Xenopus tropicalis: one gene and its partners. The protein of the gene in region 3 interacts with the protein of the main gene of each other region in a biochemical or structural test. Links are inferred from orthologs where the notes say so. Each region holds a gene or a part of one and is shown on either strand. Other genes may lie near its edges. The genes, in order: nek9, retreg1, gabarap and nbr1.

Region 1 (3,627 bases), on a different chromosome or scaffold from region 3:
TCTAGGCATGCACCAAAGCCACTATTTTCAGATTCGGGCAAACCCCAAATCCTTTGTGAAAGATTTGTGCGAATACCGAATCATATGCATATTCAAATTAAGATAAGGAAAGGCCAAAGAGAACCACGTGAAAAATTTTCAACTTGCGTGTTTATGTGACAAAAAGTCCCATAATTTTAAGGATTCGGCCAGGAGTGTGGATTTGCCCAAATCTGAATCCTGCTGAAAAAGGCCAGATCTTGGCCGAATCCCAAACAGAATCCTGCATTTGGTGCATCCCTAATGCTTTTGCAATTTTCAGCCTAACCTTTGCTATGTATAGCTGAAAAAGACAATTTGCTTTTAGCCTAAAACCAACTCCACCCCCCCCAAAAAAATTACATTTAATTATCATATATTAATATTAATGATTCCAGACCTGCACTATAATGTCAGTGCAGAGGCATAATTTTTTCCAGGTATTGGATAACTATATCTAAAAGTATATACATTTTAATCTTTTGTACTTATTTAGCTTTTCACTCTGACCTGAAATGCATACGGTGAAATCACTTCCACAACTGACTTGCTGTACTGACTTTCCTTGAAGTTTTTCCACATGTTTTGGTTGACGGTAGGAGGCACGGTCTCCGTGTCCCAACTGTCCATGTAGTTTTGATCCTCCCTGCATGTTCTGAATTTTAAAAAAATTTAAAAAAAATGTGTTTAAATGTGTATATCGTATATTAGAATTAATGTAGCTGAAATGACAGCATACAAAACCCATATCAGGTACCTTCCTCTTCAGTGAAGTCCCTGGAAGTCCCCTTCCTTTGCAATCCTAACAAAGACCCACCACCGTACACCACCTGTACCTCCCATGAAGTTCCCAGTACCAAGAATTTCTTCCTTCATTTAGCACTCACCACCCAAGTGTAAAGCTCTTTTTCCACGGTCACTACAGCAAAATGAGCATCTCCAGCACAGACCTGCCGTGCTCGGCATCCACCCTTGAAAACATCCAGCTTCTGAGGAGTGGTCTTTCCACCTCCCCATACATACACCTCACTGCTCCTTGATGTAACGACAGCGATAGGGGCTTCTGTAACTGTACCCGTCCTGGGAAGCATTATGAATGGAAGAAAGACCCAAAAGGTGACAAAACACAAAATAAAAAAAAAATGGAATGGTCACAGAGTGGGGTGAAGGTGTCTTAAAAACAGTTTAGAGATTTAAATGATTACAGGAAGGGAGTGTTAAGAACTTACAATACACACCACAACAATCAAAACAAAAAGGTGAAGAGAAAACATTCAAAGAAAGAAAGAATAGGATGCCAAAAGTGAAAATGGTGCCAAGGAGATAAGAAACAGGGCAGTCATGTGACTACAAAATGCAGTGAATGGGTACATTCCCAGAAATGTTACATATCAGGCAGTGATAAAAATAAAACTGGATGATTGGATGGCACACAAAATAAAGCAAAACGTTTAACAGATATACAAACACGTAAGTAAAACAGTTCACCAAAATGTGCAATGTATATGATACAACCTTACTATTGCCTGTCCTAAAACTATTTTTTAATATTGAGGTGAAAGTCAATTAATAGAGTATTTTGTATTGTTTACACTGAGTTTGCTGGTTCAACTTTCCTACTCACAAAAGGCATTAATCATTGACCAACAGAATTATCAATATAAAATAGTAACCATACGCTTGTCAATAGAGGTAGCCATCAAAATGGCACAGTACTACTGTATAAATAGGGGCAGATTTATCAAAATGTGAGTTCAAAGCTTAATACATAAAAACTCCCCCATATTCTATTCATTCCTATGGGATTTTTAGAAGCATGTTTATCAAATGGCGAACTCGAACTTTCACTCATTGATACACTTCTAAATATCCCATAGGAATGAATAGAACATGGATGAGTTTTTATGTATTAAGCTCTAAACTCACATTTTGATAAATCTGCCCCATAATGTCACTTTTTCATGCATCATGTGCAACCCGTAAACCCCTCTGTAAAGGGTGGACAATCACAGAAATAATACTCCAAATTACTGAAGAAAGAGTAATTTATTCATGCCACAACCCAGGTTCCAGGCTTTATACCATCCCTTCATCAAGCACCAATACATTCTCACTCACTATAAGCATGTTTTGATTATTACCTGGGCTTCTTATTGGATCGATTCAGCATAGATACTTTTTCCTCCATGTCTCTATTTAAAAAGAATATTTTAAGTTTAGTGAACCCTTAAAACAAACACAATACATGTATTTACTGTTCTGGATGCTGAGAGCTTGGAAATAATGCTATACTGCAGATTCCCAGCCTCAGTTTCATAACTGAAGATGCTGAAAATGCTATTTGCTAACCTTAAAGAATGAAAGAATGTTATATTAAGGTGAATTATAATTTAGATTACACATACTGGGAACGCATGGTAAAATAAAATGCATGGTAAATAAAAGATATTGAGACTATTGATTAAAAACAAAACACACTTGATCTATAAGTACCTTCTCCTCCAGCTCAATATTGGCATTTTCAGAATCTCATCTGCTGTTGGGCGCTTCTCTGGGTCCTATAATATTAAACAGCTAAAAATCAAAATACATACCTTTTAACACATTTACCATACACAATACACAATACAAGTGTGGAATATGTACCCCTCTAGATATGGAAGTCATCCCACATTTGTACCATCAAGTATTTATTAAGAACTACTACAGGTATGGGATCAGTTATATGGAAGCCAGTTATCCAGAAAGCTCCGAATTATGACCAGCCTGTCTCCCATAGACTGCATTTTAATCAAATAATTCAGATTTTTAAAATGTATTTCCTTTTACTCTGTAAAAATAAACCAGTACATTGTAATTGATCCCAACTAAGGTATAATTACTCCTTATTGGAGGCAAAACAATCCTATTGGGTTTAATTGACGTTTTATTGTTTTTTTTTCATGGGTCGACAGATTGTTTTGTATGTCTTCATCACTTAATTCAGTCCACGAAGCATAGTTCCACTCAGAGTCACCAGCAGGGATGGACAGGCGTGGCAATCGTCCTAAGCCTGGTGGGTTTTGGGTCATAAGGGGGGCCTGGCCATGCTGCATTTACATGGATTAGCTGGCCCCCCCCTAAGACCCAAAACACACCAGTGCAGCACTGCAGGGCCCCCACTTAAGTTATAAGAGATGTGGGAGGTTTAAAGTCCAAAACTAAGGGTCATATTTATCAAAATGTGAAATCAGAGCTCACAACTGAAAAATTCACCTACTCTATTTATTCCTGTGGGATTTTTAGAAGTGTATTTATCAGTGGATGAAAGTTGGATTTCACTATTTGATAAATACACTTCTAAAAATCCCATAGGCATCAACAGAAAGTGGGTGAAGTTTTTTGTGGTGAGCTGTTCTCACATCTCACCAAATATACATTAAAAAATTCAAACCATTTTTATAAAAACCTTTAACCCCCCCCCCCCCCCCCCCCCCCCTCACTACACTAGCTCTGATTACTGATCACAGGGCCCTGACCATCAATGTGTGTTTTGGTTTTCAACCTGAATTATGTTGTAAGGGCCCCCATGATTTCTGATGGCAGCCCTGGTTACAGTACATGTAAAAG
Region 2 (4,380 bases), on a different chromosome or scaffold from region 3:
GACTATAAGCAATTTCCCATTAACTTCCTATTCACTGCAATAAGAGGTGGGTTCAAGCAACCTGTGGCATTCTCAGTAACAGAAAAATAATAACATCAAATGCCATGTGTACCATAGGTTATATCAGGGGTGGGCAAACTTTTTGGCTCACGGGCCACATTTACTTACCCCCGTGCCGGACCGGGCCAGGGCGGGCAGGGCCAGGCCAGCGTTACACCCCCTTCATCTCTTTAATTCCAGTCTCGCGTGATGAGACTTGGCGTCGGCGGCGGGCCGGATTAAAAAGGCCAAGGGGCCGGATGTGGCCCGCGGCCGTAGTTTGCCCACCCCTGGGTTATATTCTGGTTTAGCTATGATGATCCTCACTAGACTTACTAAAGAACTTGCATCTGGAGTATCTGCTCCAGATGTATCTTGGGCAGGATTTAAAATCCAGAGCATGGCACAGGGCAACCTGTCAGCATCCTACTGAATGACTTGCATTACACTAATACTCACAATACTTGCTCAAGTGTTCATAACCCTACAATACTTGCTCAAATCTTCATAACCCCACATCTCCTAAATTGAGGTTTTCAATCAATTGCTGTTCCCCCTGAGAAAAAATTACTGGTGCTATTAGATATTGCCTTTAGAAAACAATACTTTATATTAAATAGATTCATTTGGGAACCTTTTTGGACATGTTAAAAAATTCCTTAAATGATAAATGATAAGATGAATTTGAAAATTCAACCCTGAACTGTCCCATATTAGTATTTATTGTTCTTTATGTATATACCATTATTTATATAGCAGGCATATACATAGCATATAATTTAGGCATGAAGCTGAATGTGCGCATAAATACATGCAGGCTAATATATTAAGGGCTAAAAGAAGGATGTAAATTGTGCCAAGCCCATGTAGAGTGCAAAAATTTATATTGTGGCTCTTGTGCTGATAGCTGGGTGAAAGTTCTTACCTTGCCTCATGGCAGGAGCAGCTCTCGAACTGACTCCTCATATTTTACAACAGAGAGTACATTACATATTCTAATGCACAAGTTTCAGTGTGTCATGTGATAAATTACACCACTAAGCACCATTCATTAAATAGGAGAGAGATTCATGACTTCTGTATTATAAAAAAAAATGATGATGATGATATGAGCTGGTCTAGGGGCACAAATAAGCAATAATAAGGAAGCAAGATTCTAAATCATGCTAACTAGGAGTGTGCCAGGGGATGCCCTGTCAGGAGTTCTCTGGTTAGAAGCACTCTGCCTCCTTCCAAAGAAGGCAGTGCCCATGGCCACAATGTCACATTGTCACACTGTTGCTGCATGATGTCATCACATGCCACTTTGGCGTGAAAATTCAAACCGAAAGGACACCAAAGACCCGGATTCAATGCCTCAATATATATCTTTCATTGTAAAGTTCCTTGGTGCATTAAATTACTGTTTTGGCTCAATCTACACGTTTCTTTCAGCTTTGTTCTTACTTGCCACAATTTTTAGCCTGAATTTGACTAAGAGACTTGCTTTACCCCATGGATACGGCGTATAATTTTCTGAACTCAGCTTCCTCCCTGATCCTGACTTCAACCCTGTAAAGACCATAAGGCCCTGACATTTCCATACATAGTCTAATGCCTTATGGGTCATTTAGTTGCAGAGACTTTTCCTAAGAACAAAGTACCAGGAACAGTTGAAGATTGCTTTCAATTATAGACCAGAATCACAGCAAACATGACATAAGGTTGCATCTATCTTCCAAGGTGCATTTTTAGGCCATAACCTTAAAGGACATGTCAACCCCAAAAATAATTGTTTTGCCTAATAAAAGAAAACATAATTCCAATTTCAATTATTAAAAATTATTAGCGCTTTAAAAGTTAGGTGTAAATGTAATTGCTATTGAAAGCAGAATTTGCTGAAGTCCTGGTTGTTACTTTTTAATAGGAAACTTACAACAGGCCACCAAAAGCAACATATTCATTGTCATGAAATATTACTTAAAAGGGGTAGTTTGCCTTTAAATTAACTTTTTGCATTTTGTTGGCAGTATTGTTCTGAGGCTATTTGCAGTTTTTAAATTTTTTTTTGTTTTTGAATTAATCAGATTGTGTTTAACAGCTTATCAGTATGGCATTTAGCAGCTATCTGGTTGCTGTGCTCCAATTTACCCTAGCAACCATGCAGTGCTTTGAATGAGACATTGTAATATAAATAGGAGAATGCCTGAATAGAAGAATATTAATGGCTTAATTCCTATTTATTTTCTAGATATCATCATACTGGGCATACTGAAGAGAGTATTAATATAACATCTAACCTTAAGACAATGCAAAAAATTAATCACTGTACACAAAAAAAAAACTAAATTCTATTGTTAGTCCAACAGATGCCCTTTGGCGGTCAGAGCTGAATGTGACTGACTCTCATGCCACTGCTGACTGACTGGAATGCACCCTGTGAGGGAATGCTGATGACCACCACAGGGGGGCCTTTGTACAAATATACTAACAACTTCTTAGGAAAATGAGTATGTTATTGGGACAAAAACTATGAAAAGAGAAAGATATTTATGCTATTTATATCAGTTATAACAGTTTAATTAGCAATGAACAACAGAGGGCAAATGAACACAATGTTATACAAACAGAAGCAACAAATGCAAACAGTAATTCATGACAAATTTTACAAATGTGTATATCACTGAAATCAACCCAAAAGAACACTTTCCTAGCAAGGCACATTTACTTTCCAGTACCTTCCATGTGGATCTGAATCTTCTCCTTCAGGCATTTCTGCCTTCTCCAAAAATTGTTTGTGCCAAAAAAGTAATCCAAGTACAGATGTGTCTTTTGAACTTGGCCGCGACTGTAAGGAGAGCTGAGACAGTCTGAGCAAGCTATGTGAGCTCCGAGTCTGTGTTTATGTTCTTCCTGTGTGTGTCAGCTTGTCTTGAATGGAGCAGACAGCATGAGAGCAATGATTGGCTGTTATAAATAGAGCTGAGCGAGCCATGGATCTCATGGGCTGTGCTTCAGTCCCAGCCTGCTGGCACATTATCTTGTGGAGTGATTAGACAACACCCATTTCAAACACTTTCATAATAACAACTCCTGGTTTCAGGAGTACTGTATCCTAGTTCATAAACAAAAACAAATGAAGAATAGCAATAAGCTATTTCCTTAAAGAATATTAAGTTCTAAAATTCAGCTGATTGCTTTGCAAAACTTTTGTTTTTATTAAAAAAAACTGTAGGCCCCATTTACTAATGTTAAGATGTCCATACAAGGGATGATAAAAGCTGCCAACAGACCAAGGATACAAAAATATTGCATGTTGACATTTCCTGTATATAAAGAATCTCATGTGTATTGGTAGAAATATAACCACAGTTACAAAACTTGTGGCTTCTCCTATCTATACTGCAGTGTAGACTACAGAATTCTGTAATACTGTATACATAGTTAGCAGTAGTGTAACTTGGTCGCTCCAGGCTCCCTCAAATATTCCCCCCCCCCGGCTTACTTGCACCGCACCTCTCATCCGACACCATGCAGCCATTTTTAAGGTAGAAAAGAGGCTGGGCAGGGGGGCTGGGCCCTGCTGTGACCGCGGGGTATATAGATAGTTATGCCACTGTTAAAAAAAGCCCATCAAGCTCAACCCTTTCAAACAAGCCCTAGTGCACACATATACACATAACACTTTTACCTGCTTACCCCCCCCCCCCCCCCAACACAAAAAAAAAAATATTTTCCCGTGACTCATAGTTTAATCCTCCCTTTTGCCACTTTAGGTGTACATCTCTTCACTCTCTCAAGTTTATTATTATCCTTCTTAACCCTTTTACTGCCAGCCATTTTGGTCAAAGCGGAACTTGTATTGCCAGACAGTTTTTGAACATTTTGCACTGTTTCACTTTAGGGGCCTTTCCTCGGGGGGACTTTTAGTTTACCAAGGAAAACAATATATCGTTTTTTTCAGAACAACCTAAGCTTTCAAAATATGGTAGAATTTTTGTGTAATTCCAATTCTGTAACAAGATATAGGCTTCTAAATGTCTAAAAATGCAAAAAAAAACAAATTTTCCATAATATAATCACACATACTAGAAACAAAAATTATTTTATGCACGAATATACAACTGATTTGGAAAGTCCCATGTCTCCTGAACGTGCCAATACCAAATATATATAGTTTTATGGAGATTTCTCACTTGTATAGGTCAAAAACTCCCAGCAGTACACTACCAAATTCCCAAAGCACTGCTCCAAAAAAACTGCATACTTTGGATTTCAAGGCCAAAATTCCACTAACAGAAGGTTAATCCCAGAAAATTGTACATTTTTGGAAAGAACAGATTCTGGGGAATACAGAATAGG
Region 3 (4,195 bases):
CTCTCTCTCCATTGTTATACCCCAGTCTGCCCATGTTATTACCCCAGTCTCTCCCCGATGTTATCCCCCAGTCTCTCTTCTCCCCATGGTTATACCCCCAGTCTCTCTCTCTCCCCATGTTATACCCCAGTCCTCCTCTCCCCATGTTATACCCCCCAGTCTCTCCCCTTGTTATACCCCAGTCTCTCCCCATGTTATTTACCCCCAGTCTCTCTCTCCCGAGTTATACCCCCAGTCTCTCTCTCTCCCATGTTATACCCCCAGGTCTCTCTCTCTCCCATGTTTAAAACCCCCAGTCTCTCTCCTTCCCATGTATACCCCCAGTCTCTCTCTCTCCCCATGTTATACCCCCAGTCTCTCTCTCTCCCCATGTTATACCCCCAGTCTCTCTCTCTCCCCATGTTATACCCCCAGTCTCTCTCTCCCCATGTTATACCCCCAGTCTCTCTCTCTCCCATGTTATACCCCCAGTCCTCTCTCTCCCCATGTTATACCCCCAGTCACTCCCCATGTTATACCCAGTCACTCCCCATGTTATACCCCCCATCTCTCTCCCCATGTTATACCCCCAGTCACTCCCATGTTATACCCCCAGTCTCTCTCTCTCCCCATGTTATACCCCAGTCTCTCCCCATGTTATACCCCCAGTCTCTCTCTCTCCCCATGTTATACCCCCAGTCTCTCTCTCCCCCATGTTAAACCCCCAGTCTCTCTCTCCCCATGTTATACCCCCAGTCTCTCTCTCTCCCCATGTATAACCCCAGTCTCTCTCTCTCCCATGTTATACCCCCAGTCTCTCTCTCTCCCCATGTTATACCCCCAGTCTCTCTCCTCTCCCCATGTTATACCCCCAGTCTCTCTCTCTCCCCATGTTATACCCCAGTCACTCCCCATGTTATACCCCCAGTCTCTCCCCATGTTATACCCCCAGTCTCTCTCTCTCCCCATGTTATACCCCCAGTCACTCCCCATGTTATACCCCCAGTCACTCCCCATGTTTATACCCCCAGTCTCTCTCTCTCCCCATGTTATACCCCCAGTCTCTCTCTCTCCCCATGTTATACCCCAGTCTCTCTCTCTCCCCATGTTATACCCCCAGTCTCTCTCTCTCCCCATGTTATACCCCCAGTCTCTCTCTCTCCCCATGTTATACCCCCAGTCTCTCTCTCTCCCCATGTTATACCCCCAGTCTCTCTCTCTCCCCATGTTATACCCCCAGTCTCTCTCTCTCCCCATGTTATACCCCCAGTCTACCCCAGTCTCTCTCTTCCCCATGTTATACCCCCAGTCTCTCTCTCTCCCCATGTTATACCCCAGTCTCTCTCTTCCCCCATGTTATACCCCCAGTCTCTCTCTTCCCATGTTATACCCCCAGTCTCTCTCTCTCCCCATGTTATACCCCCAGTCACTCCCCATGTTATACCCCAGTCTCTCCCCATGTTATACCCCCAGTCTCTCTCTCTCCCCATGTTATACCCCCAGTCTCTCTCTCTCCCCATGTATAACCCCCAGTCACTCCCCATGTTATACCCCCAGTCACTCCCCATGTAACCCCAGTCACTCCCCATGTTATACCCCAGTCTCTCTCTCTCCCCATGTTATACCCCCAGTCTCTCTCTCTCCCCATGTTATACCCCCAGTCTCTCTCTCTCCCCATGTTATACCCCCAAGTCTCTCTCTCCCCATGTTATACCCCCAGTCTCTCTCTCTCCCCATGTTATACCCCAGTCTCTCTCTCTCCCCATGTTATACCCCCAGTCTTCTCTCTCCCCACGTATATACCCCCAGTCTCTCTCTCTCCCCATGTTATACCCCCAGTCTCTCTCTCTCCCCATGTTATACCCCCAGTCTCTCTCTCCCCATGTATACCCCCAGTCTCTCTCTCTCCCCACGTTATACCCCAGTCTCTCTCTCTCCCCACGTTATACCCCAGTCTCTCTCTCTCTCCCCATGTTATACCCAGTCTCTCTCTCTCCCCATGTTATACCCCCAGTCTCTCTCTCTCCCCACGTTATACCCCAGTCTCTCTCTCTCTCCCATGTTATACCCCAGTCTCTCCCCATGTTACCCCCAGTCTCTCTCTCTCCCCATGTTATACCCCCAGTCTCTCTCTCCCCATGTTATACCCCCAGTCTCTCCCCATGTTATACCCCCAGTCTCTCTCTCTCATGTTATACCCCCAGTCTCTCTCTCCCCATGTTATAACCCGCCCAGTCTCTCTCTCCCCATGTTATACCCCCAGTCTCTCCCCATGTTTACCCCCCAGTCTCTCCCCACGTTATACCCCCAGTCTCTCTCTCTCCCCATGTTATACCCCCAGTCTCTCTCTCCCCATGTTATTACCCCCAGTCTCTCTCTCCCCATGTTATTACCCCCAGTCTCTCTCTCCCCAATGTTATACCCCCAGTCTCTCTCTCCCCATGTTATACCCCCAGTCTCTCCCCATGTTATACCCCAGTCTCTCTCTCTCTCCCCATGTTATACCCCAGTCTCTCTCTCCCCCCATGTTATACCCCCAGTCTCTCCCATGTTATACCCCCAGTCTCTCTCTCTCCCCATGTTATACCCCCAGTCTCTCTCTCTCCCCATGTTATACCCCCAGTCTCTCTCTCTCCCCATGTTATACCCCCAGTCTCTCCCCATGTTCCTGCCCCAGAGGAAGGTTCCTGCCCCAGAGGAAGGTTCCTGCCCCAGTAGTTGCCCCGGGGGCAGTATGTCACACACCGGGACTCGGTCGGGGTATTTCTTGCGGATTTTCTCCCCCTCGGAGCGGCGCTTCTCGAAGGGATGTTCCTCTTTATACACGAACTTCATGGCGGACTCTCCGGGCGGTACCGGTTCGAGACTGCGATTGGAGTTTCGGTTCCTGTTGTTTTCAGGACTGACACTGACAGGAAATAAACAGGCCGAGCCCCGCCCCCCACTTCCGCATCGTGGCTCCGCCTTCCCAACGTCAGCCGCTGCGTCATATCGGGCCCGGAGCTCTGTAACCATAGCAACCGCCCCTCCCGCCCCTTCACTCACTTGTGCGATTGGAACGGAAACCTTTCAGTCTGTTTCATTCTGTTTGTGTGAGAGAGAAGTGAGTGTGAGAGTGAGTGTGAGAGTGTGAGTGAGAGAGCGTGAGTGGGAGTGTGTGTGTGTGAGTGTGAGAGTGAGTGTGAGAGTGAGTGTGAGAGTGAGAGTGAGTGTGAGAGTGAGTGTGAGAGAGAGAGTGAGTGTGAGAGTGAGTGTGAGAGTGAGTGTGAGAGTGAGTGTGAGTGTGAGTGTGAGAGTGAGAGTGAGTGTGAGAGTGAGTGTGAGAGAGAGAGTGAGTGTGAGTGTGAGAGTGAGTGTGAGAGTGAGAGTGAGAGTGAGAGTGAGAGTGAGTGTGAGAGAGAGAGTGAGTGTGAGAGTGAGTGTGAGAGTGAGTGTGAGAGTGAGAGTGAGTGTGAGAGTGAGAGAGAGAGTGAGTGTGAGAGTGAGTGTGAGTGTGAGAGTGAGAGTGAGTGTGAGTGTGAGAGTGAGAGTGAGTGTGAGAGTGAGTGTGAGTGTGAGAGTGAGTGTGAGAGAGAGAGTGAGTGTGAGAGTGAGTGTGAGTGTGAGTGTGAGAGTGAGTGTGAGTGTGAGAGAGAGAGTGAGTGTGAGAGTGAGTGTGAGTGAGAGAGCGTGAGTGTGAGTGAGAGAGTGTGTGAGAGAGAGAGAGAGAGAGAGTGAGTGTTAGTGAGAGTGTGAGAGTGAGTGTGAGTGTGAGTGAGAGAGCGTGAGTGTGAGTGAGAGAGTGTGAGAGTGAGTGTGTGTGTGAGTGTGAGAGTGAGTGTGAGAGAGAGAGTGAGTGTGAGAGTGAGTGTGAGAGTGTGAGTGTGAGTGAGAGAGCGTGAGTGTGAGAGTGTGAGTGTGAGTGAGAGAGCGTGAGTGAGAGAGTGTGAGTGAGAGAGTGAGTGTGAGAGAGAGTGAGTGTGAGTGAGAGTGTGAGTGTGAGAGTGAGTGTGAGTGAGAGAGTGAGGGTGAGAGTGAGTGTGTGAGAGTGAGTGTGTGTGTGAGAGTGAGTGTGTGTGTGTGAGAGTGAGGGTGAGAGTGAGTGTGTGTGTGAGAGTGAGGGTGAGAGTGAGTGTGTGTGTTTGTGAGAGTGAGTGTGTATGTGAGAGTGAGGGTGAGAGTGAGTGTGTGTGTATGTGAGAGTGAGTGTGAGTGTGTGTGTGTATGTGAGAGTGAG
Region 4 (3,077 bases), on a different chromosome or scaffold from region 3:
ATTATAAATTTTATTATAAGTGATACTAAGGACACAATATGTTGCACAAACTAGTCATACTTTATCTGAAAAAACTAGGGTATATATATATATATAATACGTGTATTGGATATATTCAAAATGCTTGTGACCTGAGGGTTTCCAGATAAGATATCTTTCTGTATATTAGATCACCATGACTTAGGTCTGTTAAAAATTATTTAAACATATAGGGGCAGAGCTCTAATCAAATGAACCCCAGTAGAATTAGTGAAGGGAGCCACAGATGCCTGTTGCTATTTTCACAATGGGGCACTGTAAATGAGCCCTATAATAGGCAGTTTAATTAGGAACAGGGCAACAGCCTTTGAAACCTTTGCATGCTGTTCCACTAAGGCTCCATATAAACGGACTGGCAGCAGCTGTTTGTGTGCACTGTTGCATGAAAGAGAAAGGAAGAAGATCATTTACCCAAAAATAGTCTTTAAATTGTTTAAGACCCATGATAGACATAGTCACACACACACACAGAACCCAGAAGAAACAAGTGAGGCAAAATCTTTAGAGTGAAAGATATTTTATTCATCTGCTGGTGAGTGCACCAAAAGTGGCCCCTGTTTACAGTATTCATCTAGTTATTTATCATTTTCCCCACATCTATTTACAGAAACATTCATTCACAAATAACATTGTTTTTTTCAAAAGCAGATTTTTCCGCTTCATGAAAATCTCTGTGATCTTGCCAGGATTTTCCCACTTACTGCCCTTAAATTAAATCTTTGCAGCTCTTAGTATACTGAGAAAATTCATATTCTGAGCCTTTAAATCAATGTTGCTTCAGGAAATAGAATTACTTCCTAATAAGTTCAGGACTTGATTTACATACTGTGTATTGATACTCCTTATTCCAGTATCAGCCATTCAGTCTGATAACACCAAGCCCGTGTCAGCCAACACCAAAGGGGCACTTCTTGCTCATTGCACATTTATCTATAGAGCTGGAAACTCTTTTTGATGCAAATATTGTTCTTCCAGAGAATCTTAACTAAAGTAATGGAAATATAATGGAAATTATAGGGCCAAATAAAAAGATGTGTCTTGCTAGCAACGCATTATACATCTGCTTTTTTTCTACTTCAAAATGTCTAAGGGCAGAACTAAGCTCTCTTCTCTAGTTCAGTAACGAGCAGAGTACCAATCGTTGTCGTTGATCTGGATCAGTTCGGTCACTACGTCCATGAGGTTGTAGCTGTGCTTGTGTAGCAGGCGTTGGTTGAGTTGGCGGTCACAGAATCCCATCTCGAGGAGGATAGCCATCATGGCTCTGTCTTGTTCTTCTGAATTTCTTGGCTGGAGATGGAGAAGCAAGCAGAGTTGTTGGCATTAAATAGAATATTTAACATAGTATAGGTAATAATAAAAGATTTTGGAAATGCCTCCACCAATTCAATATTTTTGGGAACCCTGACTAACTAGTTGAATCAGAGGAAGGTTAAAAACACCTTCTAAAGCTTCTCCAATTTGCCTCGGAAAGGGAAAAATTCCTTCCTGAATCCACAATGGCAACTGCACCACTCCCTGTATCAACTCTGTACTTGAAGTGCTAATTTCGTTAACTTTGTACTTTATAATTTTATAAAACGGCATCCAACCCTTTCTTAAAGCTATAGCAAAAAGAGAAAGTTGTGCTCACCACTACAATTTAAAACATTAGGCAATGAGGCTGTGACCGCACATACATACAAAATCAAATGTTCCTCTGCCCTCATGCAATACCTGTTTTGTTTAAAGGGGAAGGCATTTCCTTAGTAGCTCATTACACAAAATGTCTTAATGTCTTATATATATTGATAATGGGCAGGTACAGAGCACCACTAGCTTTTCTGAAAGCTATCTAATGTATCTGACTTCAGGAGATCATTTGTTAACTTTTGGCATCTTAAGGCGGGACCTACTTTCTTCAAATACATGGAGCTCATATTCTCCATTCTGTTTTTTTTAACAACATTCACATAGAAAACAAAAGCTCTATGATACTTTGCCCATAACACTAACCATTTAGCCACTAACTAATGCATGCAAGCCTTTCTATGAACACTTGAATGAAGGGTTAAAGTTGACAGAGTTGCTGCACTCACCAGATTTATCTCTGGTTGTCCAGAGAATAAAGCCTTATAAGCAGAAGCAGCAACAGATAGGGCACCTTTCACAAGACCCCCGGCAATGCTGACACTGGTGAGTTGTCTGTTGGAAATCAAAAACATGCATTAAACATAACAGAACTATTTTGTTTCCTTTATTATCTCAAAAAACAGAAATGAGATTGCAAGGAAGCTGGCAAACCAAGAATACAAACTGGTACATGTTGGCATGACATTGGCTCAAGTAAAAAATTCAGTAATCAAAGTAGAAGGCCGATAGACCCACATAATTTTAGCAATGTGAAAGTTTATATACACAATGAATTTAATACAGTTACAAGACTGAAGTGCATCCATGGGAAATCACCAATATTATCTTGGATACATGATCTATGTAATCTTCCATATAACCATGATTAACTGTTGGGTTACCTTGCGTGATCAGTCTGTTGATTGTGTGCTGGGGCACAAGCTGTAGGCTCTAAGGCTGATGTGTTTTCATCTGAAGAATCTTTCAGAAAACCATCAAATAAGTGAAGAGTATTAAACAAGAGTATAAATCAGTGAGTAAACCTATATTAATTTTACATGGGATCAGTTGGAATGAGGCTAGGATTCTCACAAATGCCAGAGAGGCTGCTATAAGATGCAATAGACAGTCACTATTTAGACTGTCACTACTGATTGTTAAGATATATGTTGGACATAAGAACATAAAGAAGAATTCATTCATGATCTGTATTGAACTGCAACTCCTAAATGAGCATGCTCAGAATGATAACCTGGAAACACTAGTCACATTAATTAAGTACGATAATTAATGTAGAAAAAAAAAATCTCCATCAATTTTAACTCTATGGGGCTGATTTACTAACCCACGAATCCGACCCGAATTGGAAAAGTTCCGACTTGAAAACGAACATTTTGCGACTTTTTCGTATGTTTTGCGATTTTTTC

What was found.
Region 1: the proteins of gabarap (region 3) and nek9 form a complex in vitro, tested with the Homo sapiens proteins (2 studies listed by BioGRID and IntAct, with this or other methods). The link is inferred for Xenopus tropicalis from reciprocal best matches to the Homo sapiens genes GABARAP and NEK9.
Region 2: the proteins of gabarap (region 3) and retreg1 are reported together in a solved structure, tested with the Homo sapiens proteins (2 studies listed by BioGRID, with this or other methods). The link is inferred for Xenopus tropicalis from reciprocal best matches to the Homo sapiens genes GABARAP and RETREG1.
Region 4: the proteins of gabarap (region 3) and nbr1 form a complex in vitro, tested with the Homo sapiens proteins (3 studies listed by BioGRID and IntAct). The link is inferred for Xenopus tropicalis from reciprocal best matches to the Homo sapiens genes GABARAP and NBR1.

What each region holds. Positions count from the first base shown.
Region 1 is NC_030684.2:82,279,440-82,283,066, forward strand, and holds part of nek9 (serine/threonine-protein kinase Nek9), read right to left. Parts: intron 2,577-3,627; coding exon 2,512-2,576; intron 2,211-2,511; coding exon 2,160-2,210; intron 1,099-2,159; coding exon 906-1,098; intron 674-905; coding exon 529-673; intron 1-528.
Region 2 is NC_030682.2:79,279,334-79,283,713, reverse strand, and holds the start of retreg1 (reticulophagy receptor FAM134B), read right to left. Parts: upstream 2,909-4,380; 5' UTR 2,792-2,908; coding exon 2,757-2,791; intron 761-2,756; exon of another isoform or gene 1-760. UniProt on the Homo sapiens protein: Endoplasmic reticulum (ER)-anchored autophagy regulator which mediates ER delivery into lysosomes through sequestration into autophagosomes.
Region 3 is NC_030679.2:153,336,022-153,340,216, forward strand, and holds the start of gabarap (GABA(A) receptor-associated protein like 1), read right to left. Parts: upstream 2,915-4,195; 5' UTR 2,815-2,914; coding exon 2,725-2,814; intron 1-2,724. UniProt on the Homo sapiens protein: Ubiquitin-like modifier that plays a role in intracellular transport of GABA(A) receptors and its interaction with the cytoskeleton.
Region 4 is NC_030686.2:19,645,733-19,648,809, reverse strand, and holds the end of nbr1 (next to BRCA1 gene 1 protein), read right to left. Parts: intron 2,632-3,077; coding exon 2,553-2,631; intron 2,224-2,552; coding exon 2,118-2,223; intron 1,330-2,117; coding exon 1,156-1,329; 3' UTR 540-1,155; downstream 1-539. UniProt on the Homo sapiens protein: Ubiquitin-binding autophagy adapter that participates in different processes including host defense or intracellular homeostasis.